7 linked regions of the Macaca mulatta genome follow. The protein of the gene in region 1 purifies or fractionates together with the protein of each later gene. This does not show direct contact. Links are inferred from orthologs where the notes say so. Each region holds a gene or a part of one and is shown on either strand. Other genes may lie near its edges.

Evidence for each region.
Region 2: the proteins of HDAC2 (region 1) and BRMS1 purify together in Homo sapiens (co-immunoprecipitation; 4 studies listed by BioGRID and IntAct, with this or other methods). This does not show direct contact. The link is inferred for Macaca mulatta from reciprocal best matches to the Homo sapiens genes HDAC2 and BRMS1.
Region 3: the proteins of HDAC2 (region 1) and EED purify together in Homo sapiens (affinity purification with mass spectrometry; 5 studies listed by BioGRID and IntAct, with this or other methods). This does not show direct contact. The link is inferred for Macaca mulatta from reciprocal best matches to the Homo sapiens genes HDAC2 and EED.
Region 4: the proteins of HDAC2 (region 1) and BCL11A purify together in Homo sapiens (affinity purification with mass spectrometry; 4 studies listed by BioGRID and IntAct, with this or other methods). This does not show direct contact. The link is inferred for Macaca mulatta from reciprocal best matches to the Homo sapiens genes HDAC2 and BCL11A.
Region 5: the proteins of HDAC2 (region 1) and DDX17 purify together in Homo sapiens (affinity purification with western blotting; 3 studies listed by BioGRID, with this or other methods). This does not show direct contact. The link is inferred for Macaca mulatta from reciprocal best matches to the Homo sapiens genes HDAC2 and DDX17.
Region 6: the proteins of HDAC2 (region 1) and SIN3A purify together in Homo sapiens (affinity purification with western blotting; 24 studies listed by BioGRID and IntAct, with this or other methods). This does not show direct contact. The link is inferred for Macaca mulatta from reciprocal best matches to the Homo sapiens genes HDAC2 and SIN3A.
Region 7: the proteins of HDAC2 (region 1) and RELA purify together in Homo sapiens (affinity purification with western blotting; 8 studies listed by BioGRID). This does not show direct contact. The link is inferred for Macaca mulatta from reciprocal best matches to the Homo sapiens genes HDAC2 and RELA.

Annotation. Positions count from the first base shown.
Region 1 is NC_133409.1:19,012,895-19,016,960, forward strand, and holds part of HDAC2 (histone deacetylase 2), read right to left. Parts: intron 2,210-4,066; coding exon 2,069-2,209; intron 1,536-2,068; coding exon 1,427-1,535; intron 474-1,426; coding exon 343-473; intron 1-342. UniProt on the Homo sapiens protein: Histone deacetylase that catalyzes the deacetylation of lysine residues on the N-terminal part of the core histones (H2A, H2B, H3 and H4).
Region 2 is NC_133419.1:8,082,680-8,085,924, reverse strand, and holds part of BRMS1 (breast cancer metastasis-suppressor 1), read right to left. Parts: intron 2,951-3,245; 5' UTR 2,944-2,950; coding exon 2,805-2,943; intron 1,791-2,804; coding exon 1,700-1,790; intron 1,500-1,699; coding exon 1,372-1,499; intron 1,213-1,371; coding exon 1,133-1,212; intron 1,037-1,132; coding exon 940-1,036; intron 378-939; coding exon 285-377; intron 1-284. UniProt on the Homo sapiens protein: Transcriptional repressor. Down-regulates transcription activation by NF-kappa-B by promoting the deacetylation of RELA at 'Lys-310'. Promotes HDAC1 binding to promoter regions.
Region 3 is NC_133419.1:86,850,268-86,854,333, reverse strand, and holds part of EED (polycomb protein EED), read right to left. Parts: intron 3,213-4,066; coding exon 3,147-3,212; intron 1,715-3,146; coding exon 1,589-1,714; intron 587-1,588; coding exon 505-586; intron 1-504. UniProt on the Homo sapiens protein: Polycomb group (PcG) protein. Component of the PRC2/EED-EZH2 complex, which methylates 'Lys-9' and 'Lys-27' of histone H3, leading to transcriptional repression of the affected target gene.
Region 4 is NC_133418.1:64,324,336-64,328,401, reverse strand, and holds part of BCL11A (BCL11 transcription factor A), read right to left. Parts: intron 2,438-4,066; coding exon 2,336-2,437; intron 1-2,335. UniProt on the Homo sapiens protein: Transcription factor. Associated with the BAF SWI/SNF chromatin remodeling complex. Binds to the 5'-TGACCA-3' sequence motif in regulatory regions of target genes, including a distal promoter of the HBG1 hemoglobin subunit gamma-1 gene.
Region 5 is NC_133415.1:13,035,078-13,039,143, reverse strand, and holds part of DDX17 (probable ATP-dependent RNA helicase DDX17 precursor), read right to left. Parts: intron 2,864-4,066; coding exon 2,764-2,863; intron 1,949-2,763; coding exon 1,815-1,948; intron 1,514-1,814; coding exon 1,448-1,513; intron 1-1,447. UniProt on the Homo sapiens protein: As an RNA helicase, unwinds RNA and alters RNA structures through ATP binding and hydrolysis.
Region 6 is NC_133412.1:53,492,572-53,497,161, forward strand, and holds the start of SIN3A (paired amphipathic helix protein Sin3a), read right to left. Parts: upstream 2,880-4,590; 5' UTR 2,647-2,879; exon of another isoform or gene 2,584-2,646; intron 1-2,583. UniProt on the Homo sapiens protein: Acts as a transcriptional repressor. Corepressor for REST. Interacts with MXI1 to repress MYC responsive genes and antagonize MYC oncogenic activities. Also interacts with MXD1-MAX heterodimers to repress transcription by tethering SIN3A to DNA.
Region 7 is NC_133419.1:8,726,586-8,731,278, forward strand, and holds the start of RELA (transcription factor p65), read left to right. Parts: upstream 1-1,694; 5' UTR 1,695-2,023; coding exon 2,024-2,085; exon of another isoform or gene 2,086-2,332; intron 2,333-2,557; exon of another isoform or gene 2,558-2,670; coding exon of another isoform or gene 2,671-2,677; exon of another isoform or gene 2,678-2,703; intron 2,704-3,150; exon of another isoform or gene 3,151-3,292; coding exon of another isoform or gene 3,293-3,319; intron 3,320-3,377; coding exon 3,378-3,561; intron 3,562-3,629; coding exon of another isoform or gene 3,630-3,662; coding exon 3,663-3,811; intron 3,812-4,693. UniProt on the Homo sapiens protein: NF-kappa-B is a pleiotropic transcription factor present in almost all cell types and is the endpoint of a series of signal transduction events that are initiated by a vast array of stimuli related to many biological processes such as inflammation, immunity, differentiation, cell growth, tumorigenesis and apoptosis.

The sequences.
Region 1 (4,066 bases):
TCATATTAAGTGTAATGAGAAGTTGCAAAATCAAACAGATGTTTAGTTATTTGGTTCACCCTACTTCAGATAAATGAGATGTCTTATTAATTGCCAAATATACTGAAGTGGCTAGCTTTTGATAACTTTCAATCATGTATGTATATCCAGCCATACAAACTGAAACTGCTGACACCCAAATCAGGTTTTGAGATCAGGAAGGTAAATCTCTGAAAGTGGCAAAAATGACAATAATAATAGTGTGCTCGTGAACATGACTTAACAGTGAAGTTCTTAGGCCACTAAAACCTTCAATTTGAAGTATCATTTTGACAAACTGGAAAAATAAAGGCATTATCTTACTAGAAATTCTCTTGTCTGGATCTTCTCCATCTTCATCTCCACTGTCTTCATGAACAGCATCTTCTGGAATAGCTTGCATCTGGACACCAGGTGCATGAGGTAACATGCGCAAATTTTCAAATAAACGCTGTCTAAATTACACACGCAAAGTTTATTAGACAAAATTCAATTTCTTTGCAGTTCTTACATGCAAGAGAAAATATTTAGCAAAAAATTTCATCTTTGGTCTAGCTAAGCCTATAAATTAAAAGGTCTCTCTCTGTTGCCCAGACTAGAGTGCAGTGGCAAGATCATAGCTCACTGCAGCCTCAAACTCCTCACTGTAGCCTCAAACTCCTGGCAATCCTCCTGCCTCAGCCTCTGCATTAGGACAACAACTGTACGCCACCATACCTGGCAAATTTTTAAATTTTTTGCAGACAAGGTCTCACTATACTGCCCAGGCTGGTCACAAACTCCTGGTCTAAAGCTATCCTCCCATCTTTGACTTCCAAAGCATTAAGGTTTATAAGCATGAGCCACCTTGACTGACCAAGGAGGCATTATTTTAGTCCCCCATTTCAATGAGGGGAAAACACAAGCACAAAGGCAGGTGAACTTATCAAACATCATACAGCTTGTTTGTGGTACAGAGGTGACTCAAACCCATGCTATGTACTATAATGTCTCTACTTTGCTTGTGGAGACAAAGCCTTAACAAAATGTTTCAGACAATGAAAATAACTTATAGTGTGCCTTGCAATTTTCAAATACTTTTCAACTAATAAAAAAATATTATTTCCATTAACTGAAGAAATTAACTGGCTGAACACGGTGGCTCATGCCGGTAAGCTCAGCACTTTTGAGGCAGAGGTGACAGGATCACATGAAGCCAGAAGTTCGAGACACCCATCCTGACAAAAAAATTTTAAATTAAAAAAAATAATAATAATAATAATCAGTAACTTAATGTTTCAAATCCTTTAGAAAGAAACAAGAGAAATGTCTAATAAAGTTAAAAGGACCCATCATACTTGGCCCTCTAAAGCATCCTAAATCTTTGTCAAGATAAAATGTTTATCAAAACAATTCAACGATTTCTTACTTTATCTTTTCCATATATTCTGGAGTGTTCTGGTTTGTCATGTTTGAAGGACTAATATGCAGTTTGAAGTCTGGTCCAAAATACTCAAAGTAATCATTATACGGCAACTCTATTGAAAACAATAAAATAGAGTTACACATTACAAGCTGAGTTTTCACAAAAATCCATGCACAGAATCCAGATTTAGGTGGTGAAATAGTTCCAAAGAAAAGGTTTAAAAGTGAACATAAAGTGAATGTTCTCCTATTTATAAAGAATGGCACTTACTCTAATCATCCATCCATCCATTTTGATATACAGTCTCTGACTTTCAACGGCTTGACTTACAGTTTTCTGGCTTTTTTGTCACAACTTCAATGTCTTGTATTCAATAAATTACATGAGATATTCAACATTTTTTTTTAACAAAACAGGCTCAGTATTAGATTATTTTGTCCAACTGTAGCCTAACCTAACTGTTCTGAGCATGTTCAAAGTAGGCTGGGCTAAGTCATGTATGGTAGGTTAGGTGTGTTGTATCAATCTTCTACTTATCATACTTTCAACTTATGATGGGTTTATCAGGACCTAATTGCAACATAAGTGGAGGAGCATCTGTACTGACAGTTCATACAATAAAGATATCATAATAAGAACACTTACCATTGGGAATCTCACAATCAAGGGCAACTGCAGTCTCATATGTCCAACATCGAGCAACATTACGGATTGTGTATCCACCTCCACCAAGCATCAGTAATGGTAAGTTAAAAGTTTTTACAACTTCTACACATTTAGCATGACCTAAGACAAGAAGATTTGGGTAACAACAAAATCTGCATACTGCAACAGTTTGAAAAATAAATTTTAAAAAGATAGTAAGTGCAAATGTTATTCAACCAAAATGGTTTTCCAAATATTTAAAAAACAAATAAAAATGTAAAAAAGTTCGAGTCTAAAACTCCTTTCCAAACACGTTTCACACAATAATACATTAAAAAATTAAGATTAACTAGCTATTTAAAAGTTTTTAAACACTATTTTACACTTTTTAAAACACTTTTATTTAAACACTTTTTAAAAGTGTCCCTGATGGAAGTCAAGTACACAATTATATTAAGACTATAATATGAACATACACCTATTTTATTAACACAGAAAGATGTTCATGTAGGGTTAACATGGTGAAATTAATCAGGTTACAATAAAACATTATGTATAATCTAAATTAATTTTTATTACCACTTCTTTCCTTATGGACATGTGTAAAATAATTACGGAAAGCTAAACAACATAGTTTAACCCTGAGTTAACTTCAGGTAGTGGTACTGAGTAATTTTCATAACTTAAGAGTTAAAAATATCTATTACTATTTTCAAAAACTTCTTCAACTTCTATGTGTAAAAATTTAAATATAATATTAATAGTAAACCTAACATAAAAGTAAATATTTTCTGTGGATACATGTCTTAATTCAATAATCATTTATAAGTTACCAGTAAGTTCTCCTTGAGGAATATTACCAGTTAGGCACATAACTCAATCTTTAAAGAAGAAAATCGTTTTTCTATATTTCTTTCCAATTCAGAGTTAATTTTACAAAGTTTATCCGTTCTCTTCATGTAACTGTATACTGTGGGAATTTTCATTAAGCATTCTTCAATAGTTGCCCTATGTGATTTACATAATTCTAGCACCCAATTTTTATTACTGCTACTAGAAAAGTTTCTTATAACAGATAAAAACCATTTGGATATTTTTAAAGACAAAACAAACATACAAAAAGTTAACTTACAGGCTTCCAAGTCAAGACAGCTGGCTAAACAAAGAGATGTTTACTTTTCCTTCATTCCAAAACTCGACAAAGATGACTGGAAAGGGATTTTTTTAAAGGCCAAAATTCAGAAAAATGAAGAATGGGAGAGAATACAAGAGCAAGAACATAGCTGATGGGAGCAAGGAGATGGACAAGAGATAACTAACTTCAGCAGATCTGAAAAAGCTGAATCAGGCCGGGCGCGGTGGCTCACGCCTGTAATCCCAGCACTTTGGGAGGCCGAGGCGGGCAGATCACAAGGTCAGGAGATCGAGACCACGGTGAAACCCCGTCTGTACTAAAAATACAAAAAATTAGCCGGGCGCGGTGGCGGGCGCCTGTAGTCCCAGCTACTCAGGAGGCTGAGGCAGGAGAATGGCGTAAACCCAGGAGGCGGAGCTTGCAGTGAGCCGAGATCGCGCCACTGCACTCCAGCCTGGGCGACAGAGCGAGACTCCGTCTCAAAAAAAAAAAAAAAAAAAAGAAAAAGCTGAATCAAAGCTGGCAGTAGAGAAACTCAGAATGAAGTTTAAGACTTGGGAATTACAAATATCCTTACATGCTTTATACAACTGAAACACTATTAGCTGAAATACAACGTTAATTTTTCTCTAAGAGTGAAATGATTATAAAAACTATTAAGTACAAAAACATTAAGGACTTTCATGTCTAACAGGAAAACTGATAGTTAATACACACTCTTAAGAGTACATCAGGTAGATTGTTTTAGAAAGTTTATAGGCCGGGCGCGGTGGCTCAAGCCTGTACTCCCAGCACTTTGGGAGGCTGAGACAGGCGGATCACGAGGTCAGGAGATCGAGACCATCCTGGCTAACACGGGGAAA
Region 2 (3,245 bases), on another chromosome or scaffold:
AGCAATCTACCTGCCTTGGCCTCCCAAAGTGCTGGGACTATAGATGTGAGCCACTGAGCCTAGCCCGTTTCTGTTTTCCTAGGGTCCACATAGCCCAGAGAGACCCAAGACCCTGTAAGAAATTGCTGACAGCTGGATTTGCCTGGACATGGTCACATGACACCAAGCAACCACAAGTGCATCTAGTGCGACTGTCCTCCATGTCCCCTCCAAACCTCTCCCCCAGGTCTGGAGGTGACCCTAACATCCTGCCACCTTTTAGGCCACCTTGGGTGAAAGGATACCAGAAACCAGAGGTGCCTTCTTCCTCTTGCTGGGCGGCAGGGAGTCCCAAGACCTGGAGCTGCCTCTGGCGTGCAGTTTGTCGTCCCACCATTCTGCCCCCAGACCCAGAGTTAGAACTGGGGTGCTGGCCCACAGGACACTCTCTCTTCTGTAGCCTCTGCCCCCACCATGGGCCAGCCTGGCCTCATATCCCCTGCCCCATCACAACCCTGGGCTTGGGGTAGGAAGCCCCTTAGGGCTGTTCAGGTCCTGCCCGCACAGCTGCGCAACCCCGGGAAGAGGCCGCTGCACTTCTGTGAGCCTCATCTGTTTAGTGGACAGTGGGATGATGACAATTCCTGCCACCCCAGGACTCCACATGAACACAGGTACTATGAACGTGGAGGGGACTAGAGCTATTGCATGGGACTGCATGTCACACTGATACCTGTTTTGGAAAGAGCAGGGGCAGAAGAGGGCAGGGAGACCCACTCTGCCCGAGCCCCTACTGTGTGCCAGGCCCTTTCCAGGCCTGGTTTCCTTCAGTCCTCACACTGACCCCAAGAGGCAGGTCCTCTGACTGTCCCCTTGACTTCAGGACATCTGAAGTCTAGAAAGGGGTGGGCGTTGACAGAGCCAAGCCCAGGGCCGGGGTGCCCGGGCTCTCGCGCTCACCAGAGCTGAGGTCCAGGCTCTGGCGGTCCTCCTCCAGCCTCTGGATCCGCTCCTGCAGCTCCCCCTGCAGTGTGTCATAGAGCAGCAGCTTCTCACTCTGGAAGAGGGGGCAATAGCTCAGCAGGACGGATGGGGAGAGCTCACTTCAGGCCTTGCGCCCCGCCTTGTCCCCAGTGTGCCCAATCAGGCCCACCTCCAGGTGCTGTTTGGCTCCCTGCAGCTCACATTCGTACTTATTCCTGATCACATCCAGACAGAACCCCTTGTAGATCCCTGCAGAGAAAGGAAGGAGGGGCCCTGCTTGGCTGGGGAGCCTGGTGCCCACACAGGAGGGCTGAAAGCAAAGGGTGAGGCCAGGGAGGAACAAGAGAGGAAGGGGACAGGGTGCCATGGGTTCTGGGAGGGGAAAAAGGCACAGAACCACCCACAGACCTGCCACCTGAATGCGAATCTTGAGGCTCTGCTGCAGCCCCCCAAGGGGCTCCGTGTATTCAGGGGCTCTCTCAGCCCCCACTTCCTCCAGCCGCAACCGCAGCTGACTCAGTCGTTCCCTGAACAACCTGGGTGGTAAAAAAGGCAGCCGTGCACCCATTTGCTCACCTATTGCTCTTGGGCAAACACGTACCCAGCACCCATTCCACAGCAAGCCCTGTGTTAGGCGTGCACTTCCTGGGCACCAACCACGCCTGCCCAGTACCAGGCCCACCACCTCCTCATCCCAGCTCCTCGCAGACCCAGCCCAAGGTGTCCCCATGCTCACTTCTCCTTTAGCTCCGAGAACTGCTTTTCTAGGTCCAGCATCTCACTGACACACTCGCTGCGGCGCCGCTCATAGTCCTCATCGTCCATCTCTGGGACAAGACGCCAGTAAGGGCTAGCTCTGGGGAGGGGTGGTGGGTACCCACATATGTGCATGTGCGTCCTTCATGTGTGTGTGTGTGCATGCGTCCTTGTGTGAAGGGGCTGTGTGTTTGTATGCATGCTTGTGTGTAGGGGCTGTGTGTGTGTGTGTGTGTGCTTGTGTGTAGGGGCTGTGTGTGCGCACGTGCTTGTGTGTAGGGGCTGTGTGTGTGCATGCGTGCTCGTGTGTAGGGGCTGTGTGTGCATGTGTGCTCGTGTGTAGGGGCTGTGTGTGCATGTGTGCTCGTGTGTAGGGGCTGTGTGTGCATGTGTGCTCGTGTGTAGGGGCTGTGTGTGCATGTGTGCTCGTGTGTAGGGGCTGTGTGTGCATGTGTGCTCGTGTGTAGGGGCTGTGTGTGTGTATGCGTGCTTGTGTGTAGGGGCTGTGTGTGTGTGCACGTGTGCTCGTGTGTAGGGGCTGTGTGTGTGCATGTGTGCTCGTGTGTAGGGGCTATGTGTGTGTGTGTGCATGCTCGTGTGAAGGGGCTGTGTGCGTGTGTGCTCGTGTGTAGAGGCTGTGTGTGTGTGTGGGTGCTCGTGTGTAGAGGCTGTGTGTGTGCGCATGCGTGCTTGTGTGAAGGGGCTGTGTGTGTGTGCGTGCTTGTGTGTAGAGGCTCTGTGTGTGTGCGTGCTTGTGTGTAGAGGCTCTGTATGTGTGCATGCTTGTGTGTAGAAGCTGTGTGTGTGCGTGCGTGCTTGTGTGTAGGGGCTGTGTGTGCATGTGCATGTGCTTGTGTGTAGGGGCTGTGTGTGCGTGTGCATGTGCTTGTGTGCAGGGGCTGTGTGTAGGTGCTTGTGTGAAGGGGCTGTGTGTGCATGTGCATGCTTGTGTGTAGAAGCTGTGTGTGTGTGCTTGTGGCAGAGGCTGTGTGTGAGTATGCTTGTGTCTAGGGGCTGTATGTGCATGTATGTGCATGCTTGTGCGTGGGGGCTGTGTGTGTGTGTGTGTTTGTGTAGGGGCTCACCGGAGCTCTCCTCTTCTGACTCTGTCTGGCTGCCGCTCCGCTCCTCCTCACTCTCTTCCTCCTCCCCATTCATCTCAGTGGCGGAATCACCCTCTGCTTCCATCTCTTCTGTGTCTTTGCTTGGAGGCTGGATGGGCATCCGGACTCTGGGAGAAGGAATGGAGCTGTCACTTATGGCTGCCCACAGCTCAGAGGGGGAAAGAGGCAGCAGGAAGCTGAACCCAACCTGATCCCAGATGGGGAAAGCCAGGGAAGTGACTGGCCTGGCCACACCTTGAGCACATACTGGGTGACAAGGGTGCAAATGGCCGTCTGCACCTCTCACAGAAGCCTGGGAGCTGTGGAAATGCTCCTGCTCTTGGATGTCACTGGTGATCCTAATCCTGGGAATACTGGCCAAGGCTGTGATCCACATAAAGGAAAGGCCCAGGGGGCACTCTC
Region 3 (4,066 bases), on another chromosome or scaffold:
GTACAGAGTGGGAGGAGAGAGATCAGGAAAAATAACTATCAGATACTAGACTTGAAATAAAACAGGACTTGTTAACCTAAGTAACAGGCTCTCTAAAATCAAAGATGTTTATATGGAAATAAAGCACTGCAATGAGAATGTACATGCCAAAGTAAATTATGTGTGTTTTCCAAGAGGTAAAGGAAAGACAGAGGTTTTTAAAGAAAAAAAATGAGAAGGATTACATAATTGTTTTGAAATAAGATTGGCCACAAAATCAGTAACAAGGGTGATGCCAGTCTGAGAGTGGAAAGGCACTTACTGGCAGTATTTTCTGTGTAAGGTTGTGATGGCCTTTGTGCAAGGTTGTGGCTGTGTTTTTTTGTGAGTTATTATGATCAGACATACAACCATGTGAACTCTCTTCTCATGGCTTTTCCTATTTGTCAAGGTTCTCTTGACATTAGTGACTCCATCTTAATGCTGACAAACTGCACAGACTAAAGAAACATTTGCTTCTCTTACCTTTACTTACTGACAGGAGAAGATTTGGATCTCTTGGGTGAAATTTCAGCTCATTGATAGCATTTCCATGGCCAACATAGTGCTACAATAAATTTAAAACATTTCAAGTTTCCCATCTCAAAATCAGTACTTTCTTTTTCATAAATCTTTAGAGAACGTAAAAATAGTTTCACTTAAAGTAGTGGTTCTCAACCTTGGCTGCATACAAAATCAACCAACAAACTTGAAGTGAAAAGGAAAAAAAAAAAAAAAAGGGGGCCCAGGCACAGTGGGTGGCTCATGTCTTTAATCCAAGCACTTTGGAAAGCTAAGGCAGAATCGCTTGAGGTCAGGAGTTCAGGACCAGCCAAGGCAATGTAGCAAGACTCTGTCTTCATACACACACACAAAAAAAACTAAAAATTGGCCCCAGCTACTTGAGAGGCTGAGGCAGGAGGATCACTTGAGCCCAGGAGACGGGCTGCAGTGAGCTATAATCATGCCACTACATTCCAGCCCGGGCAAAGGAGTGAGACACTGTCTAAGAACAACAACAACAAAAAAAAGCAGAAAAAAAAAAGATGCTCAAAACTCCACCTGCAGATATTCTGATCGGATTAGCGGAGGCTCCAATATGTGTAGGGTTTAAAAGATCCTCAGGTGATTCTGATGTGTCCCCACAGTTAAAAACAGCTGATGAAAGTGATTTGAAAAACTTCTCTTCTTATCAACTTCCTAGGCTTCATCTTTATGTTCCTTACAAAGTCCCTTTGACAACCCCCCTCCAGTTTAGGTGTCTTGGAAAATGGACTCGCTCTTATTGTTCATTTAGAGCCTCTCAAGGCAAACCAAGACAAGGGTGAAGGAGGTAAATTATTTAAAAAGAAAACACTACAAATATTAACATTTCTCCACTTATTCCTCAATTTACATTACCCAAATGTGACAAAGGTCTCAAAAGATTCATCTAAAGAGAGCAGTAAGAAAAGTACAAATCAAATCAGAAATGTTACATTCATACCATTAGTTTTAAATTTAACATTACAAGCTTTTACAGTTGTGGATTCAAAAGAAGCAGATCTACAATTCAACCAGAAAAACCCACCTTTATACACTGCATTGTTATAGGATTAATTATCCTAATTATGCCTCTAGATCCAGCTACAGCCAGCAGAGGATGGCTTGTATTGCTATCGTAGGTCCATGCACAAGTGTAAAAGTTTTCATCAGCCTAAGAAATTCCACAGTTAAGAAACACAATGTTTTTGAAAAAGAAACATGTCAATAATTATAATAGAAATTTACAAAGAACTGCTAAAGGTTTTGACACAAAAGTTTTCAATTTTCCTTATACAACCAAATATATACAATGGTAATTTGAGGTCTAAAATCCATAACAAATGATCAAACAAAATTAGTCTCTCCACTCAATTTTGTTTACTCTTTAGCTGCTTGTACAACTACTCAACTCTGTAGTTGTAGTACCAAAATAACTGCAGACAATATACAAACGAATGGGCACGGTTGTGTTCCAACAAAACTTTACAAGAACAGGTGGCCAACCTGCAAGCTGTAGTTTAACCTCTGCTCTATCCCCATACGTCTATAAATATCTAAATAAGAACAATTCAGTTTTCCACTTCTTTCTTTGTGAGATATTCTCAATATAACAACAGGTCACATTTTAGTATCTTTCAGAGAAAACTGAATGTCCTTGCCTTGCCTTGTTTGCTAGGTTTTTCAAATTGATCTGGAAGAAATATCCTATTATTTAGCTTTTACTGCTCTAACTCTTGGGCTTTTCAAATTTTTCTGTTTCTTTATGAACCTGTTTTGCAATATGTTATTTCCTATTTTATTTTTTATATATTATATATATATAATATGCATATATTTTATTTTTCCTAAACTTTTTTTTTCTTCCTAGGCTTCACTGATCAAATACTTGGAATGACTACCAGTCACAACCCAAGTTCATCATTATAACTACAATGAAATGATATATTCTAGACAAGGTCAAAGAAAAAGGAGGTTTTAACCAGTCTTTGCTAACATTTTCTATTACTAGATTTCTAACGCTCCTATCTCTCTAGACATCTGCACCCAACCAGCACATCAATCCCACAATGGATTTTCTTCTTTTTCTTTTTGCCTAGCTGAGTTGACACATACCACAATGGATTTCTAAGGGTCAGGAAAACTAGATACCTGGATTCTCTTGGGTGATAGTGAAGAAATAGGTTAAGAAAGGACACTAACTTTAGGGAATTGATTAATTTATAAAAGTTTTGGTGCACTTATTGAAAATAAATTCCTGCCGGGCGCGGTGGCTCAAGCCTGTAATCCCAGCACTTTGGGAGGCCGAGACGGGCGGATCACGAGGTCAGGAGATCGAGACCATCCTGGCTAACACGGTGAAACCCCGTCTCTACTAAAAAAATACAAAAAACTAGCCGGGCGAGGTGGCAGGTGCCTGTAGTCCCAGCTACTCGGGAGGCTGAGGCAGGAGAATGGTGTAAACCTGGGAGGTGGAGCTTGCAGTGAGCTGAGATCTGGCCACTGCACTCCAGCCTGGGCGACAGAGTGAGACTCCGTCTCGGGGGGGAAAAAAAAAGAAAATAAATTCCTTTGACCAAAGATATTAAAAACCCAGGAAAGGATACATCAGCATCCACGTAAGATTGCAACAACCGGATTTCTCCTTGTGAATGACATTCGTACAAGGTAACCTAAAGAAAACAAAAATACAGTAAATTTCATCTCAAGTATAGAAACATACTCTCTCCAACTTTTAAACATATTTTAATCACAACCATATTTTAAATATACTATAGAAACTACTGCTTTAAAATACCTCCTGTGAGCTTAAAGAAGCCATTATAAAGCTGAATGTTTTACATAATACACAGAGTATATTAAATACTCCAGTAATAATGGTTTTGATTTCCAAACTTTTAAACTTATATTTCATCCATTTGATTGCACCAACTCTTCAAAGTGAATAAAGTTAAAAACCCCAAAGTAGTTGTGGTTTATCATCCCTTAATTCATAATTAAAAAGTTTTTGGAGACCAGGCACAGTGGCTCACTTAATGCCAGCACTGTGGGAGGCTGAGACAGGTGGATCGCTTGAGCCCAGGAGTTTGAGACCAGCCTAGGCGATACAGCAAAACCCCATCTCTATTAAAAAATAAAAATTAGGCCGGGCGTGGTGGCTCATGCCTGTAATCCCAGCACTTTGGGAGGCCAAGGCGGGCGGATCACGAGGTCAAGAGATCAAGACCGTCCTGGCCAACGTGCTGAAACCCTGTCTCTCCTAAAAATACAAAAATTAGCTAAACATGGTGGCATGCGCCTGTAATCCCAGCTACTCAGGAGGCTGAGGCTGAAGAATCACTTGAACCCGAGAGGCGGAGGTTGCAGTGAGCCGAGATTGCGCTATTGCACTCCAGCCTGGCAACAAGAGCGAAACTCTGCCTCAAAAAAAAAAAAAAAAAAAAAAAAGTCCACACACGGTGGCTCATGTCTGTAATCCCAGCACTTTGGGAGGCTGAGGCAGGCAGATCACGAGGTCGGGAGATCG
Region 4 (4,066 bases), on another chromosome or scaffold:
GGAACTTGAGGCACCAAAAGGGTTAAAATCAGCTATTAGCCCACCTACTGACTTTTATCTTATTTCATTTTACTTTATAGGAAGGAATGACCCCCATTTCTAGTATGTCACCAATGTGAAAAAGTCATGTGATCTAAGGCTCAAGATTCAGAAGAACAAGGAGGCCTGAGACTAGAGCCCTAGCTCTATTATTCACCAGCTTGTAACTCTGGGATAGTCATTTGATTTCTCTGAGTCTTAGAATTCCTATCTGTAAAATGAGCATAAAAACAGTACCTGTAAAGAATTGTTGGGAGGTTCAAATGACAGAAGTATATAAAAGCCCTCTGTAAACTATCAGGTCCAACATGAATGTGAATTTTCATTACTACCAGGGGTGATTAATTACTGAGGGTAATGACTAACCACATTACACACCCCGCACGGCTTCCAGAGGAAGGTCCCAGTCCAGGCCTTAACCCAGGCCAAAAGGAGGCTGTAGTGAAAGAGCAGGGGTGACTGGCACACAGCAGGGCGGCCAAAGGGAAGTGCTATGAGCTCTAGAAGCCGGGGGCAGCAGGTTAATGCCGCCAAGTGGAATGGGCATCAGATTTGTTCTAGAGCTTTCTGGACCCCCACAACCCATTTCCACATACCTTGTTCTGGTCACTCCTAAACTGGTCCTGCCGGCAGGGGCACCAGTAAACTATGTACCCTCCCTTTGTGGGAAGGTGGGAGAGGACAGGAGTTCCTTATCAAGCTCAGACTTTCCTACCAGTCAAATCAAACTCCCAGCCCTCAGGAAGACCAGGCTGAAGACAGAGAACTATGTTTCCCTGGCCAGCAGCCCTTGGCCTCTCAACTCCACCCTCCTCTCAACTGCTCAACTGCCTTCTTTCCCTTCCCTCCAAAAGTGGCTCCGTTCCCACAGCCCCATGCAGGCCCCAGATGCCCCCAGCAACAGGAGAGCTCTCCCCACCCAGCCAGCATGCAGGGACTAGAAACCGTTGAGTCCAACCCCCTAAACCCTCTGCAATCTGTGACCTAACCCAGGCTTAGGCCCAGCTTGGGGAAGGGGGGCAGATGAGGTGCTTTTAACCCCTGAACCACCCAGCCCTCAGGACCTGAGGGCTTATGAAATTCACACAATAACTCTTTGTTACCTAGGATTACCTAGGAGTTAACAAAAATAAACAACTGGCTTTGACTCTGGTCTCAGGGTGCATGCCCTGCTCTTCAGATACCATTTACAAGGTGGATAAGTGTCATTTCCCTCCCGTCTAAAAACAGTCCCCCTTAGAGCCTTAACTCTGGCATCTTGCTCTTTGTTATTCTCTTTCCATGACCCTTTTCCTTTTCTTTTCTTTTCTTTCCACAGCAGGTTATTTTTCATTTACTTTCAAATAAAAATTAGAGGTCACACTTCTTTTCTTCTTGAACCTACTTTTTTGTGTTTAGGGCGGAATCACTGCCCACCCCCCAACCCTTTAGCCATGCATGATTCATACCATGTCTTCCTACACAGAGAAGCAAACTGTATTACTTTCTAAAACAGTATCTTTCAGAAAACATTTGTATAAATGGACAAATTTAAGTTTCATAAAATGGTCCTTACTATAAAAGCTCGCTTGAACAAGTAAATGGTGGTGGTGGTGATGGTGGTGGTAGTGGTGGTGGTGGCGGTGGTGGTGGTGGTGATGGTGGTGATGGTACTGGTGGTGATGGTGATGGTGGTGGTGGTGGTGGTGGTGGTGATGGTGGTGGTAGTGGTGGTGGTGGTGATAGTAGAACCTTCACATTTTAACTAAAATGATGTGCATTTTCCTCTAAAACTAGGAGAAAAATAAGTCAAAATTATGTGTGATCATGTATATATAAAATATACTATGTACAAATATACATGTAAATACATAAGGAATATGTATTAGAATAACTCTGGAATAACCCTAAACTGACTGCTTTTGATTCTGGCCTTGGCTAAAGATGTGTGCATTGGACTATACCCGAAGTCCTAAATGAGGCCACAGGAGTGAATGTCCAGTAATAAAATGGGCTCCAAAGGCACAGACATATTCAATCACTAGCCATGGAGCCAGACAAGACCCTGGGGAGAAGACCCACAGGGATTAGCTACTTTCAGCTCCCAGCCTCCAGTGAGGAAAGAAAAAGGGGAGGCAAGAAGTCCCTCTGGGGCTGAGTGGAGTGGGGAGCGTCTGCCAAGTGAGTAATGGAATAATACATATGACAATCTATTTTGGAAGTAACTCCGTTCAGTACTTAAAAAGTAAGGGCAATTTCCAGAAACTGTCATCTCTATACACATGGACATTTGTAGAAGAAATAAGGCTCAACTTACAAATACCCTGCGGGGCATATTCTGCACTCATCCCGGGCGTGGGGATTAGAGCTCCATGTGCAGAACGAGGGGAGGAGAGGCCCCTCCAGTGCAGAAGTTTATCTGTGAAAGAAACCCAAAATCAAGCACTACAGCTACAAACAACGTGCATCATAAACCACAGGATATCACATTTCAATTCCATTAAAACAGATTAACATCATTACAACAGCCTTGCAGATAGTTAACAGGCCCAAGGCCTGAAACAAAAGAAGAGTGGAGAGTTATTTCCCACAGTTTCTGTTTTGTTTTCAATTTCGGTCTTTTTGACAAAAGGGAAAGGGTTTGTTTTAGGAATGGGGAGAGGTGGTCTTTGGTTCATTTGCTTGTTTATTTGTTGTTTGATTATTGTTTTGTGGAAAGAGATGGGTAAACAGCAAGGGGAAAACTGGTAATATTGTGGGTAGCCTGGAAACATGGGGGTGGGCGTTATCTGCAAGGCTGGTTTACATGCATACATTAACTTTACTTTATAGACAAACCCAAGCAAAAAACAAAATGCTGATAGGAAATGAGTAGATTTGTGAACCGTTTTTTATGGGACAGAGTCCCATTCTGCTTTCTCTGTCCCTCTGCCCCCCTCTTCCCATGCTATATTTATGATAGAGCCTTCAGTGACAGGGGAACCTTGGGCATTTCTGGACTGACCTGGGCCATATGCTAGAGTCCTGTCAACGGGAAACCCTGTACAGATGTGGCTTCTCACAATACAAAGCAATGGAAGATAAAGATTAGACTTCTGGGGTCCAAATAACTTTGGCCATTACATGACAAGGAAAGAACCAGCATTCCAATAATACCAGCACCCAGAAACCCTGGCCCACCTTCACCATTTTATTGCACTTTGTTGCACTCTGGTGAAGACAAGTGACTTTTCACACTAATAAAATGAATCTGATAGTCAACAAAACATTTCTAGCACTGAGATTTTTTTGAGAAGAGGAAAATTTGGTTTGTGCAGTCTGGGGATTTTATGGTTTATGTGGTAAGTGCCTAGCTTTTCCAAGTCCTCCTCTAGCTAACTAACCATGTAGTTGTCCATCTTGAGACAGACTGGAGGATAGATGGTGCAGGAAACGCTCTGTGTGTTCTAGAGGTTTGGAGTTCGTGATGATTGGGGAGGGCAGGAGAGAAGAAAAACAGACTTTGATGGTGAATAAACAGTATGTTTTCCATTAGCTTAATATTAAGAGCACTTAGAAGTGTTGTTGTTGTACTCTAGGATAGCAGGTCTCAAGTGTAAAATACATCCTGTTCTCCTTATATAGAGCACACTGCCAAGCACAGCCAAGGCAGTTGGGACAAGATTTCCTTTCGTGAGGAGCCTGGTGGGTAACGATGGTGTGCTGCTGAGAAGGCTCTTACACAGACAGCATAGGTCTGCTGTTACCAGGCCTGCAGAGGGAGGCCCTGGTGGAAGCACCACCTAGCCTGAGACTGTCTACAGAGACATTTCATCCTCTCTGACCTAAAACAAAATAAACAACCGCAAAGTGAACCAACACAAGCAGGAAGACCGGACTTAACAAACAAGTATGTCTACATTTGACTGTTTATGTCAACTGAATTGAGAGTGTGGTGTAAAATTACTACAGATTTTGTCATGGCATTTTTCAATGAGAAATCTGAGAATCCATTTTTGCACTTGTTTTTGCCTCAGCCGTTCACTAAGTTTGCTGCCAAAACAGACAT
Region 5 (4,066 bases), on another chromosome or scaffold:
AAAAACAATGAAAATTTACATGTAATCTGACAAAACTGTGTACAATCTGGCCAAATAATACAAAAATCAAGGTATCATATACCAAATTATGAAACTTGCTTTGTATACTGATCCATTAGATATTAATTAATAATGCTGTCAGACATATACTATGTATTATATAAAGTACTGCATTATTTCTTTTTGTGAATATCTTGAGACATACTGTACATGTTCATAAATACATACGACAAATGCAAGCTTAATTCTTAAAGTTAAAAAGTAGGCTGGGCGTGGTGGCTCACACCTGTAATCCCATTACTTTGGGAGGCCGAGGCAGGATCACCTGAAGTCAGGAGTTCGAGACCAGTCTGGCCAACACGGTGAAACCCCGTCTCTACTAAAAAAACAAAAATTAGCCGCGTGTGGTGGCACGTGCCTGTAATCCCAGCTACTTGGGAAGCTGAGACAGGATAATCGCTTGAACCTGGGAGGCAGAGGTTGCAATGAGCTGAGATTGTGCCAACAATGTACTCCAGCGTGGGCAACCAAGAGCAAAACTCCGTCTCAAAAGAAAGAAAAAAAAAAGTACACATTCAATGCCAGGCGTGGTGGCTCCCAGCACCCTGGGGAGGCCGAGGCAGGTAGATCACCTGAAGTCAACAGTTCCAGACCAGCCTGGCCAACATGGCGAAACCCTATCTCTACTAAAAATACAAACATTAGCCGGGTGTGGTGGTGTACACTGTAATCCCAGCTACTCAGGAGGCTGAGGCAGGAGAATGGCTTAAACCTGGGAGGCAGAGGTTGCAGTGAGCTGAGATCTTGCCACTGTACTACAGAGTGAGACTATGTCGCCCCCCAAAAAAAAAAAAAAAAAAAAAAAAGCTGGATGCAGTGGCTCATGCCCATAATTCCAGCAATTTGGGAGGCTGAGGCAGGCTGATCACCTGAGGTCAGGAGTTTGAGACCAGCCTGACCAACATGGAGAAACCCATCTCTAGTAAAAATACAAAATTAGCTGGGCATGGTGGCACATGCCAGTAATCCCAGCTACTCAGGAGGCTGAGGCAGGAGAATCGCTTGAACCCAGGAGGTGGAGGTTGCGGTGAGCCAAGATCACGCCATTGCACTCCAACTGGGCAACAAGAGCGAAACTCCAAACAAACAAACAAACAAACAAACAAACAACCACCCAGAAAACACTTGACTTTACTGCACAGTAAGTGCCCATATAGCATGCATAGTTTCTTTAGGAGTAAGACTTTGGTTCAAATGTAAGCTCAGCTATTCAACTGCTGAGTGATCTTGGGTAAGTCATTTAACTGCAAGTAAGATGAGAATGAAACCATTTCCATGTATGGAGGGTGTGGTGAAGAGTACAAATGGATAATGTAAACCACCATGCCTAAATAGTTGCTAAATTGTAGTTTTTCTTAGAATTACAAAGAAACTGAAACACACTTACGATTGGGCCATCTCCCCTTTCCAAGTATGGCTGGTGGTTAATATGAACAATCGCAGGCAGGAGATACTGTGGAGGAGGGAAAGAATGACAACCTTATACTTAGAAGTACAATCTTACTAAGATACTTAATACTATCTTAGTAATTACTGAATTAATGCATAAATAGGAAAGTGAAAAACAGAACTCACCATTGCCACATACAGCAGGCGATGCAAATTTGAACATAAAATGCTTTCATATATTTAATACCTAAAATAGTACCTACACTATCTGAACAGCATTTCTATGAAGAACTGAGAACACATGATAATCAGAATAGCAAAATAAGTTACCACAATATCAAGGATCTTCTCTTGCTCATACATACCGCCAACGTCTTCCCAGAGCCAGTCTGAGCAATGCCCACCATATCCCGGCCACTAAGAGCCAACGGAAATCCCTGGCACTGAATTGGAGTTGGTTCTGTAAAGTGCTGATCCATCAACACATCCATTACATATTCTGTAAGAGAATTTTATTTTACACATTTTATTGTGTTTAAGGGCACAAACCAAAAGAGTTTTTAAAAAAACTTTTAAGCTCACTAAAGTAAGATTTACCCAGCTTCATCTCTCCAGTGTTTTCTTTATCTACTGGATCTCCGACTAGCTTACCGTAAAGCTGCTCTGGGCCAGGCTAGGTGGCTCACGCTTGTAATCCTAGCACTTTGGGAGGCTGAGGCCAGTGGAGGTCAGGAGTTGACCAGCCTGGTCAACATGGTGAAACCCTGTCTCTCCTAAAAATACAAAAATTAGCCAGGAGTGGTGGCGGGCGCTTGTAAACCCAGCTACTCGGGAAGGTGAAGCAGAATCGCATGAACCCAGGAGGCGGAGGAGGCAGTGAGCTGAGATCACGCCACTGCACTTCAAACTGGGTGACAAAGTTGTGACTCCGTTTAAAAAAAAAAAAAAGCTGCTATAATAGTCTACCTCTCTCAGAAATTTGAAAAAACGTTACCCTAAAGCATCTAACAGGACATGGGAACATGGTAGTCATTTATTGTTTACCAAATTCACATCATGTCCAGCTAGAAAGCAATTTCATTCTGCTGTTTTCTAAAAGGCAGAGGGCAAAACCCTAGAAAAAGATAAAAACCTTAAAAAAAAAATTATCAGTCTAAATACAAGAACAAAAGAACTGATGACCATAAAACCATAAAACAATCTCTTGTCCTTTCAACAAAACCCCAAGCCTGGCTCAAAGAGTTTAACCTAATACCCATGTCTCCCATTCAACCCAATTTAACAAATTAAGGCTCTAGACTGAAGAATACTTACGTGGGAAGTTAGCATGATGGAAGGCAAACACAGGTTTAGGACAAACATCTCCCCCTCTCACTGTAATCTCTTTCTTTCGGCGTAGCTCATCAACCTCATACTATGGAAAAAAAATTAAATAACACAAGTTAGTAAACTAGTTACTCTAAACATTCAGAATTTATGTTCCAAGCTAGCTGAGCAATTATCCAGTCCACAGCTACGATGGCAAATGTTTAATAGTTTACATGGTACTTTTATGTGTATCACTTTAATTTTGCAAGTTAATTAACGACGTAGGTGATTAAGAGTTCCACTTTCTTTTTTTTTTGAGACGGAGTCTGGCACTGCCCCCCAGGCTGGAGTGCAGTGGCGCAATCTCGGCTCATTGCAAGCTCCGCCTCCTGGGTTCACGCCATTCTCCTGCCTCAGCCTCCGGAGTAGCTGGGACTACAGGCGCCCGCCACCGTGCCTGGCTAATTTTTTGTATTTTTAGTAGAGACGGGGTTTCACCGTGGTCTCGATCTCCTGACCTTGTGATCCGCCCGCCTCGGCCTCTCAAAGTGCTGGGATTACAGGCGTGAGCCACCACGCCCGGCCAAGAGTTCCACTTTCTACAGGAGAAAACAGGTAAGTAACTTGCCCAAGGTCAGAACGAGGAGGAAAAAAGTGGAACTTGGACCCAAGTACTCTTTCCATTACACTTTCTTCTGAAAGAGTAACCATTTCATGTGTAGAGTCCAAAAAACAATGATAATGAGGTACAAAAATAGACAATGTTGGCTGGGCACGGTGGCTCCCACCTATAATCCCAGCACTTTGGAAGGCTGAGGTGGGTGGATCACTTGAGGTCAGGAGTTTGAGACCAGCCTGGCCAACATGGTGAAACCCCGCCTCTACTGAAAAAAAACAAAAAAATAAAAATAAAATTAGACAGGCGTGGGGGCACGCGTCTGTAATCCCAGCTACTCGGGAGGCTAAGGCAGGGGAATTGCTTGAACCTGGGAGGCAGAGGTTGCAGCAAGCCAAGATCATGCCACAGCACTCTAGCCTGTGGAACACAGCGAGACTTCATCTCAAAAAAAAAAATAGACAAGGCCAATATATGATATTTTTCACTAGCAGATGAAAAGACATGACCTTACAGTAGTTTCAATCATATATAATAAACAGATTAATAAGCATTATCAACAAATGAGAACAAATTCAATGCATATTGAAACTGGTCCCCTTTTATGAGTATTGGGGTCTTAGTTAAGAATGTAAGAAAGGCCGGGTGCAGTGGCTCACACCTGTAATCCCAGCACTTTGGGAGGCGGAGGTG
Region 6 (4,590 bases), on another chromosome or scaffold:
ATGTAAAAAGAATTATACTTTGCCAGGAATCTTGTCAAATTACTACACACCTCCTTCCTTAAAAAAGAAAAAAAGTCTTTCTCTGTATGTAAATTATTAAAACCCTCTTAATTACGAAGTGCCAATCTTTCTAAGCTATTTATCTCTGAGCAACATTATAGTATATAAAATAATTATCTGGAGATTATGAAGCATTTATGAAACCGCTCCTAATACAGCAAAACCAAGTTCTTACTTGAATCCTTAAAGACTCTTCTGTGTTCCCCAGTATACAGCACTGCAAATCATGGGAACTACTATATGTAGACCAAATTTTCCTCAGTGGTCAATAGTTCTCCACTATCTGTTTATGGCATCAGGAAAAAAACACCTGGATTTTTTGTCTCCCCATCAATTCTATTACAGCCATCATTAGCTAAACTAAAATGCTGTTGCTTTTGCAACTTCCTTGGCAGACAAGATAGAACCTACCCTTTTCACATAAACACAGCACAGGGCACCACTCAGGCCCTACTAACCAAAGCACAAATCTAGAATTTCACTTCAGATAATTAACTAATTATCTAACAATATCTAATGTCAGATAATTAGACATTTAAACCAATGTCTAAATTCAGGCTCATTTAGACATTACTGCATAAATAAACATTGGTTCCATGTTTATTTTTCTCATGAAAAATGTGAAAAATATTGAAATAATTTCTCTCAATAGGAAAAGATAATGTATCAAGTGAAAGCAAAAACCTCATCTAATGTGGTTCTGCTATAGGTTAGATTTGAAATGTCCTAAGGCAACTCTCCAATGCAGGCTGGAGAGCAACGCTACAGAAGTCACATACAGAAGGCTACCCTGATCCACAACTTCACCCTACTCTGAAATATAAAGGGCAAGAACACTGTACTATGTATACTATAAATAGAAAGTGGTCTAGATGATCGAACATAATTACATAAAACCAGAAAGAAAAGACTTCTCACCTATAGTTACCTCAATAGCAAATTCTTTGGGAAACCAAATTTTTTCTGTTTGTTGAGACGGAATTTCGCTCCTGTCGCCCAGGCTACAGTGCAACGGCCCGATCTCGGCTCACTGCAACCTCGCCTCCCGGGTTCAAGTGATTTCTCCTGCCTCAGCCTCCCCAGTAGCTGGGATTACAGACTCTTGCCACCATGCCCAGCTAATTTTTGTATTTTTAGTAGAAATGGGGTTTCGCCATGTAAGCCTGGCTGGTCTCGAACTCCTGACCTCAAGCGATCGGCCCGCCTCAGCCTTCCAAAGTGCTGGGATTACAGACATGAGCCACCGCACCCGGCCAGGAAACTAAGTTTATATAGTAGAACCATCTGCACAATGAAAGCATTCAAAACTACAAGCGTCAGAGATATCAGAATATTTTATTCAAAGTCTGAATTTTTCTTAAAAAAAAAAAAAACCTATTTTATAAACAGACCAGTTTTGAGATTAAAATGTAAATCCCAACTTTCCTGTTATAAATCTCAGCCTTGTAAAGAGGAGGAGCTTCCACTGCCTTTTCAAGGCTAACTTGGTTAAAGTCCTAACGCACCGAAACAGACGCCAAGTCTACTACCCACCACCCATTGGCTCAAAGGAAGCCCCGCCCCATACAGCCACGGTAACTGAACATCGAGGGAACCCCAGAAAGGTTTTCTCTCCGCCACATTTCTAGTCTCTGATGACTCCCTGCCCCTCCCCGACCATCACCACCGCGGAAACAGGGTTCCAGCACCAGCCACACACGCTCCTACAAGAGGACCTTAGGCACTTCGCCCCAATAGATACAACCAGGAGGGTGGTGGGGGTGACCATGCTCCCACTCTCTCAGCTGCACGGTGCCAGACACGCTGCATGGAGCAAACAGAGAAAGCAGCTCCGGCATAGGGCCCTTGTGCCCCAGGCAGAAGGCATGACCGAGCCACAAGAGTAAGTCCTGACACCTCCGCAGCTCTCAGTCGGCGGGAGCCCCTCCCTCCCCACGGAGACATAAGGCGGGGCAGACCTAGGCGGCGAGACTCCCAGCCAGACCCGACAGCGGGCTTTCCCTAGCACCGCCTCATTGCCAAGGAGGCGGAAACCCAGGGCCGGGGTGGGAGGCGGGGGACGGCCAAGGGGAGTGGCATCACGGATCAGTACGGCCCCTCCGGCCAACCGGATCCCGAGAAGGCGGAGAAACTCAGACTTCACGCCCCCTCCCTGCCGCGCCCTGAATCTACACGCGGGAGACCCCCCTACCCGTCCCCGACCCCAGCAGGCAAGAGCGCGGCCGCCAGCCCGAGGCCCCGCCCACCCCAGGAGGAGGAGAGGGGGTGGTCGGCCGCAAACAGCACTCAGCGAGAAGCCGGCCCCGCCCCTTTCTCCACAATCGCACGCGCGCGCCGGCCCCGCCTCTGAGCGGCGGCGCGAGAGCCCGCCCCCCTCCGCGCGCACCGGGACTACGCTCTCCTCCCCCTCCCGCGAGGAGAGCTACCCTGCTCCGCCCCCCACCCCCCTCACACAGCCACACACCTCCCGCCCGTCTGCTCTACGGGAAGCCGAGGAGGTCAGCCCCCCCTAAAAATACACACCCTCGAGTCCGGCGTTACCCGCCACTAGGCTCCCGCCCGGCCCCCGGCCCAGCGTGCTCTCACCGCAAAGCTGCTTCGGCCGCTCGTCACTGCGTGTCCCTCTCGGCGTGAGCCGCGAGCTCAGCAGGGAGGCCCTGAGAACGGCGCGGGGCACAGGCCCGCCGAAGCGGACTGCCAGCTACCTCTCCGCTAACCAAGCGGTCACAGGCCCCGGTGCCCAGACTGGGAAGGAGGGAGGGAGGGAGGGAGGGAAACTCCGAGGGGGGAAGGGGAGGGGGGAAGATGGAGAAACCGTCTCCGCCGCCTCTACCGCCGCGGCCGCTTCTCTGTTACCCGGGAAATCCCGCCCACTCCCCCGACCCCGCCCCGCAGGGGGAAGACTCAGCTTCGTTCCAACACAGGACGCAATACCCGCCCGTCAAAGACTGAGCCAATCACCGAGCCCTGCCTTATGACTTCCCGCCCCTTCCCCCTCGACTGGGAGGGGAGAGGGAGCCGCTCACCTTCTCCACGCCCCTATTGGCGGGGAGCGTCCCTAACTCAACCCCGCCTATTGGAGACAGACTGCTGAAGCCCACCCCCGAGCCACAACGCTATTGGAGGAAGCGGGGAAGCTCTTCCTGTCTCATTGGAGGACACCACATAACCCGCCCCGCAGCGTCTCAGCCACAGGCCTAACAAGTTGGCTCCCGCCTCCGCCGGTCATCGCATTGGAAGGCTACCCCTGGCTCTCCCACCGCCCCAGTAAGGTAAGTAACCGATGTGGGGTAAAATGTCTGTAAGTGAAACAGGCTCCGCCTACTGCACTGCCGGGCCAGGCCCCGCCCCAAGAGTTGGATTGGCTATCTTGGCACTGGTAGGACCCTCCATTGGCCAGGGCGCCCGTCTAGGAAGGAACTTAATTCCGCTCTGCGCGAGGAGGCTGAACCTTAGCAGTCCTTTTGTGGAATGTTTACACTAGAGACTGAAGCTCGGAGTTCCAGGGCCCGAGACAGGAGGGGGAGCGGAGCTCATCAGCGGAGACTCCACATCCTAGGATTTGAAGGAAAGGCAGTCCACCCCGGCGGACTCTCTTACAAAAAAAATGAGAATGCGAACTCATCCTCCCTATCCAGTTATCTTTGCAGTTTACATTCTACACACTGCGTCCTTGTAAACACAAATATCCGGAGCAGCTGGCAACTCCTTTCAGTCAAGTACAGTACAGAACTAAGGTCTGGAGACCTAGGCAGAGAAATAACCCATAACCCCAAGGGTTGCCAGCGCACTCCCTAGAGCTGAATGTGCCTAAGAGGGCGGAGATAACCAAAAGAGAGGCGGGCCCTAACAGCCACCGCCCTGGCAAGCCTCCGGAAGGCGGAGCGTGAGGCACAAGGTACTCACGATCTCCCGGGTGGATCTGTAGGCATCCTCAGAACTGAGAAAGAAGAGAAAAGGACCAAAACAGGCCACAGCATAAATTAACCTTTGGAACATGCCACACTCAGAGAAGGGATAAAACTTCCGTAGTTGGGGACATAACGGCTGTTCACCTTCTCCTTAGCCAGGAGTGTTAATAGTCCCTGTGCCCTCTCTGTGTAGGTAACAGTGCCTCGAACGCACAGTGAGACAAAATGCTTTCAATTCCTAGTTTGCTTTTATTTATTCACCAAATAGGGCGTGGGCCTGACGCTGACCTTACTTTGGGGGGCGCTCTCTCGGCGCCAGGAGGGGACGGGATTACGTTGTTACCGCTCTCCCGAAGAAGTAGAATCCTCCTCCCGGAGAGCTAAGATCCCAAGGGACAGGCCCAGGGAACCCACTCCTAGGTCTAACTCTGTCCTCCCTCTGCAATCCAGCGGAAACGGCCAGGAACGAGCTCTGGCAGCAGGTGGGCCTCACTCCAACGATGGCTTCGAGCCGCGAAACCACAGCAGCGAATTGCGAACTCCAAGGGTAGCCGACAGGTGGAAGCAGCCTCGCCAGTAGCCAAACCCTGCCCCAGGACAGAGGTCTAAAAGTAAGTCA
Region 7 (4,693 bases), on another chromosome or scaffold:
CGGTGGCTCACGCCTGTAATAGCACTTTGGGAGGCCGAGACAGGCAGATCACTCATGAGGCTGAGGCAGGAGAATCACTTGAACCTGGGAGGCAGAGGTTACAGTGAGCCAAGATGGCACTATTGCACTCCAGCCTGGGCGACAAGAGAGAAACTCCATCTGAAAAAAATGAAAATAAAAATGTCCGTCTTCAGGATGACTAGATAAACAAACAGTGGTATATTTACACAACAAAACAGTATACAGCAGTGAAAAGTGAATTAACTGTGAAACAGATGAATCATAGTAATATGTTGAGTGAAAAAAGCAAGTAACAAAGGACAACAAATCATATGATGCCCTCTACATAAAAGTTCAAAACTGGCCGGGCGCGGTGGCTCAAGCCTGTAATCCCAGCACTTTGGGAGGCCGAGGCTGAGGTCAGGAGTTCGAGACCAGCCTGGCCAACATGGTAGAACCCCGTCTCTACTAAAAAAATACAAAAATTAGCCAGGAGTGGTGGTTGGCCCCTTTAAATCCCAGCTACTTGGGAGGCTGAGGGAGGAGAATCACTTGAACCCGGGAGGTGGAGGTTGCAGTGAGCTGAATGCCACTGCACTCCAGCCTGGACGACAGAGCGAGACTTCATCTCAAAAAAAAAAAGTTCAAAACTAAGGAAAACCAAACAATATATTGTGTAGGCATGCAGATATGAGTAATTTTTTTTTTTTTAATACAGAATTCTGGCCCAGGCGTGGTGGCTCATGCCTGTAATTCCACTTTGGGAGGCTGAGGTGTGAGTATCGCTTGAGCCCAGGAGTTTGAGACCAGCCTGGGCAACACAGCAAGACCCATCTCTAGTTATAATTAATTAATTAATTTAAGAAAATACAGAATTCTGGCCCAGCGTGGTGACTCATTCCTGTAATCCCAGCACTTTGTGAGGCCAAGGTGGAAGGAAAGTTGAGCTCAGGAGTTCAAGGACAGCCTAGACAACAAGGTTAAACCACTTCTCTACAAAAAAATACAAAAACTTAGCCAGGCATGGTGGTGTGCTCCCATAGTCCCAGCTATGCAGGAGGCTGAAGTGGGAGGATTGCTTGATCCTAGGTGGTAGAGGCTGCAGTGAGCCAAGACTGTGCCACTACACTCCAGCCTGGGCGACAGAGCGCGAGCCTGTCTCAAAAAATAAATACATACAATACAATACAATACAACGCAGAATTCTGCACGGTGGTGGTCCCTTAAGTTTTGCAATGGGTACACGGGTGTTTATGGTATTAATTTAAAAGTTATAAATATACATGAATTTTAAGAAGAGGATCCATGCAAGGTTTAATGATAATTGTATGTCATCCATTCGCTCAACTGAAGTCGGCCTTCCCCGCCCCCTGCCAAAAGTAAACACTTTTCTAATCAGGGCCAGCCACTGGAGAAACTGAAATGAGTGGGCGGGGTGCTAACTCTATTTTCACTTTTCTCTTCCTGTTTCTTCAGAGCCTGGGAAACAAGTCAGAATTTCCAGTCTTTTCCAATTCCCACATGATTTCCTAATTCAAGACGAATTCAGAGAAAATAAGTCTTTCTCCATCTGGAGAAGACTCCGCCCCCTGGAGCATCCTCCTTCGGGGATGAGGCCTGAGGTGGGGCTGCGCCAGCCCCAGCCCCCACAAGGACGCGCCTTGGGCTTGGTCTTGGGGGAGCTACCCGCACTGTGGGGTCACATGACAGAATTAGTGGTCAGCCCTAGCTGGAGGTCCAGGGCAAACACAGGCGGGGGCAGTGGGGTTGGGGGTTGTGGCCCTGCTGATTCGAGTGTCCCCTGTGGGTTCCGGACCTTCTGAGATACAAGCGCCAGGCTTCAGAGACGAAGCTCCGGGGTTTACCCCTGGGGACCCCCTGCTCCTGCAGCCGCTGAGGGCCGGCAGTTTGGCTGCATAGTAAGCTGGCGCTTTAGCTGGAGAGGGACGAGCTCTCGGCCAGCTCGCCAGCGGGAGGGCCTCAAGTTGTCCCATCCGGGCTGCAGGCTCCGCAAAGCTCCCTGATGCACTGTCAGAGGGGGAGGTCCGGCCGCTCCCCTTCCCCTACAGCCGCATCTAGAGTGGGGTAGGTTGGACATTTTAACGTGCTTCTGAGACAGTCACCACCGAAAGGCACCTTTAGCGATGAGGAAACCGGCGTGGAGTTCAACCACCCGGCCTCTGCGGAGCAGAAGGCCCGACTGGGCCTTTCCCTGCGCGGGGCGGGCGGCCGCAGCCCCGTAGCCCGGGCTTTGCTCCAGACCCGGCCCAGAGTGACATCACCAAACTCCGCCGATCGGTGGGAGGGGGCCCTGAAATCCCCTAAAAACAAAGTGAGTAATCGGCGGACCCGCCCTCCAGGCGGGGCCGGGACCCGGGAGCTAGCCGAACCACCGGGCACACCAGCCTCTTCGTCTCCGGCGACGCGCGCACTTGGCCCCGGCCCCCGGCAGCGGCTGTGCGCGCGGCCTCTTCGTCCTCCGCGCGGCGCGCACTTGCTCCCGGCCCCTTCGCCGGGCGGCGGCGGGGCAGCGCGCAGGCGCGGCCGGATTCCGGGCAGTGACGCGACGGCGGGCGCGCGCGGCGCATTTCCGCCTCTGGCGAATGGCTCGGCTGTAGTGCACGCCGCGGGCCCAGCTGCGACCCCGGCCCCGCCCCCGGGACCCCGGCCATGGACGGTGAGGTCGCCCTCTGACCCCGCGGGGTGGCCGCGCCGGGACCGCCCCGGCTGTGGCGGGAGGCCCCGCGCCGCTTTCCGCCCCTTCCTGCGCCGACTGGCGCTGCGCAGGGAGCGGTCGGCCTGCCGGATGGTGGCGCGGGGCGGGGCAGGCGGGGAGGGGTCTGACTCAGTTTCCCCTCTGGGTGGAGGGGGGCCCTTGACTCAGCATCCTCCCTGGGTGGGGGAGCAGAGGGAGCCTTGACTCAGTTTCCCTCCACACCGTCCATGGGGGCAGCTCTGGCTTCGTTTCCCTATTAGGGGAGAACGCATCTGATTCAGTTTCCTCTCTGGATGGAGGTGGGGCGTGCCCTCCCTCAGTTTTCCTTATGAAAGTACAACAGGCCCTGATTCGGCTTCCCTCGGGAGAAGGATTCCTTACCCCGTTTTCCCTCAAGAAGCAGGTGTTTCTGGTTCCTTTCCTCCACTCCTTAGTTTCACCGCAGGTTCTAGGAAGCAGGTCCTTACTCAGTTCCCCTGGGAGGGAGCCTGGCTTCTCTTCTCTGTGGAGAGCAGATACTCCCTTGTGAGGATGGGCAGTGGGTGTGTGCTGACCCTGATCTCCCTCCCCTTTCAGAACTGTTCCCCCTCATCTTCCCGGCAGGTAAGTGGCCCCCGCAGCAGTCCGGGAGGTGTTCCCTGGGGTAGGGCAGCGGGGGCAGCTGTCTAATGGGCCTGCGGTGTCCCCTGGCAGAGCCAGCCCAGGCCTCTGGCCCTTATGTGGAGATCATTGAGCAGCCCAAGCAGCGGGGCATGCGCTTCCGCTACAAGTGCGAGGGGCGCTCCGCGGGCAGCATCCCAGGCGAGAGGAGCACAGATACCACCAAGACCCACCCCACCATCAAGGTCAGCACTGCACCAGGGTGTGCGGGGAAGGGACTGTGGAACCCCAGCCCTCTGTGTTTGGGAGTCAGGTTTGGATGTCTGGGCCTCTGTACTTTGGACAGATCAATGGCTACACAGGACCAGGGACAGTACGCATCTCCCTAGTCACCAAGGACCCTCCTCACCGGCCTCACCCCCACGAGCTTGTAGGAAAGGACTGCCGGGATGGCTTCTATGAGGCTGAGCTCTGCCCGGACCGCTGCATCCACAGGTGAGCTCCCTGCAGGCTAGGAGGCCCAGCATGAGGGAACAGGAGGCGGGCTATGAAGTAGCCGCTACAGTGTTACTCCTTTCTGGACACAGGGCAGAGTTGCTTACTTCTTGCTCTGACTCAGCTCTGCAAGTAAACTCTCTTTGTCTTGAAATGATCTATTTGTACCTCTACTCTAGCACAGATAAGAGCTCCAAGGGATATGGATGGGTCCCTAATCACTTCTGAATCCCTGACCCCTGTAGCTGGAAGGACAAGTCCCTTGGAGTCATGTCTCTTGTTTGAGAAAGAAAACCACTGAACCAACACTCTCCCCTGGAGGTGACATTGCAGTTGACAGAAACAGGCCTTAAAAAAATATACAGGCCAGGCATAGTGGCTCATGCTTATAATTCTAGCACTTCCGGAGGCCAAGGCAGGAAGATCTCTTGAGCCTGGGAGTTCAAGACTAACCAAGGCAACATAGTGAGACCCTATCTCTACAAAAAAATAAGAAATTAGCTGGGTATGGTGACTTGTGCCTATAGTCCCAGCTACTTGGGAGGCTGATGTGGGAGGATCACCTGAGCCCAGGAGGTCACCGCTATGGCAAGCTATGATTACACCACGACACTTGGGTAGCAGAGCGACACCTTGTCGTGTTTTTTTTTTTTTTTTGAGACGGAGTCTTGCTCTGTCCCCAGGCTGGAGTGCAGTGGCGCAATCTCAGCTCCCTGCAACCTCTATCTGCCGGGTTTAGACCACTCTCCTGCCTCAGCTTCCCAAGTAGCTGGGACTACAGGTGCCCGCCACCACGCCCAGCTAATTTTTTTGCGTTTTTTTTTTTAGTAGAGAAGGGGTTTCACCATGTTACTCAGGATGTTCTCAATCTCCTTACCTCAT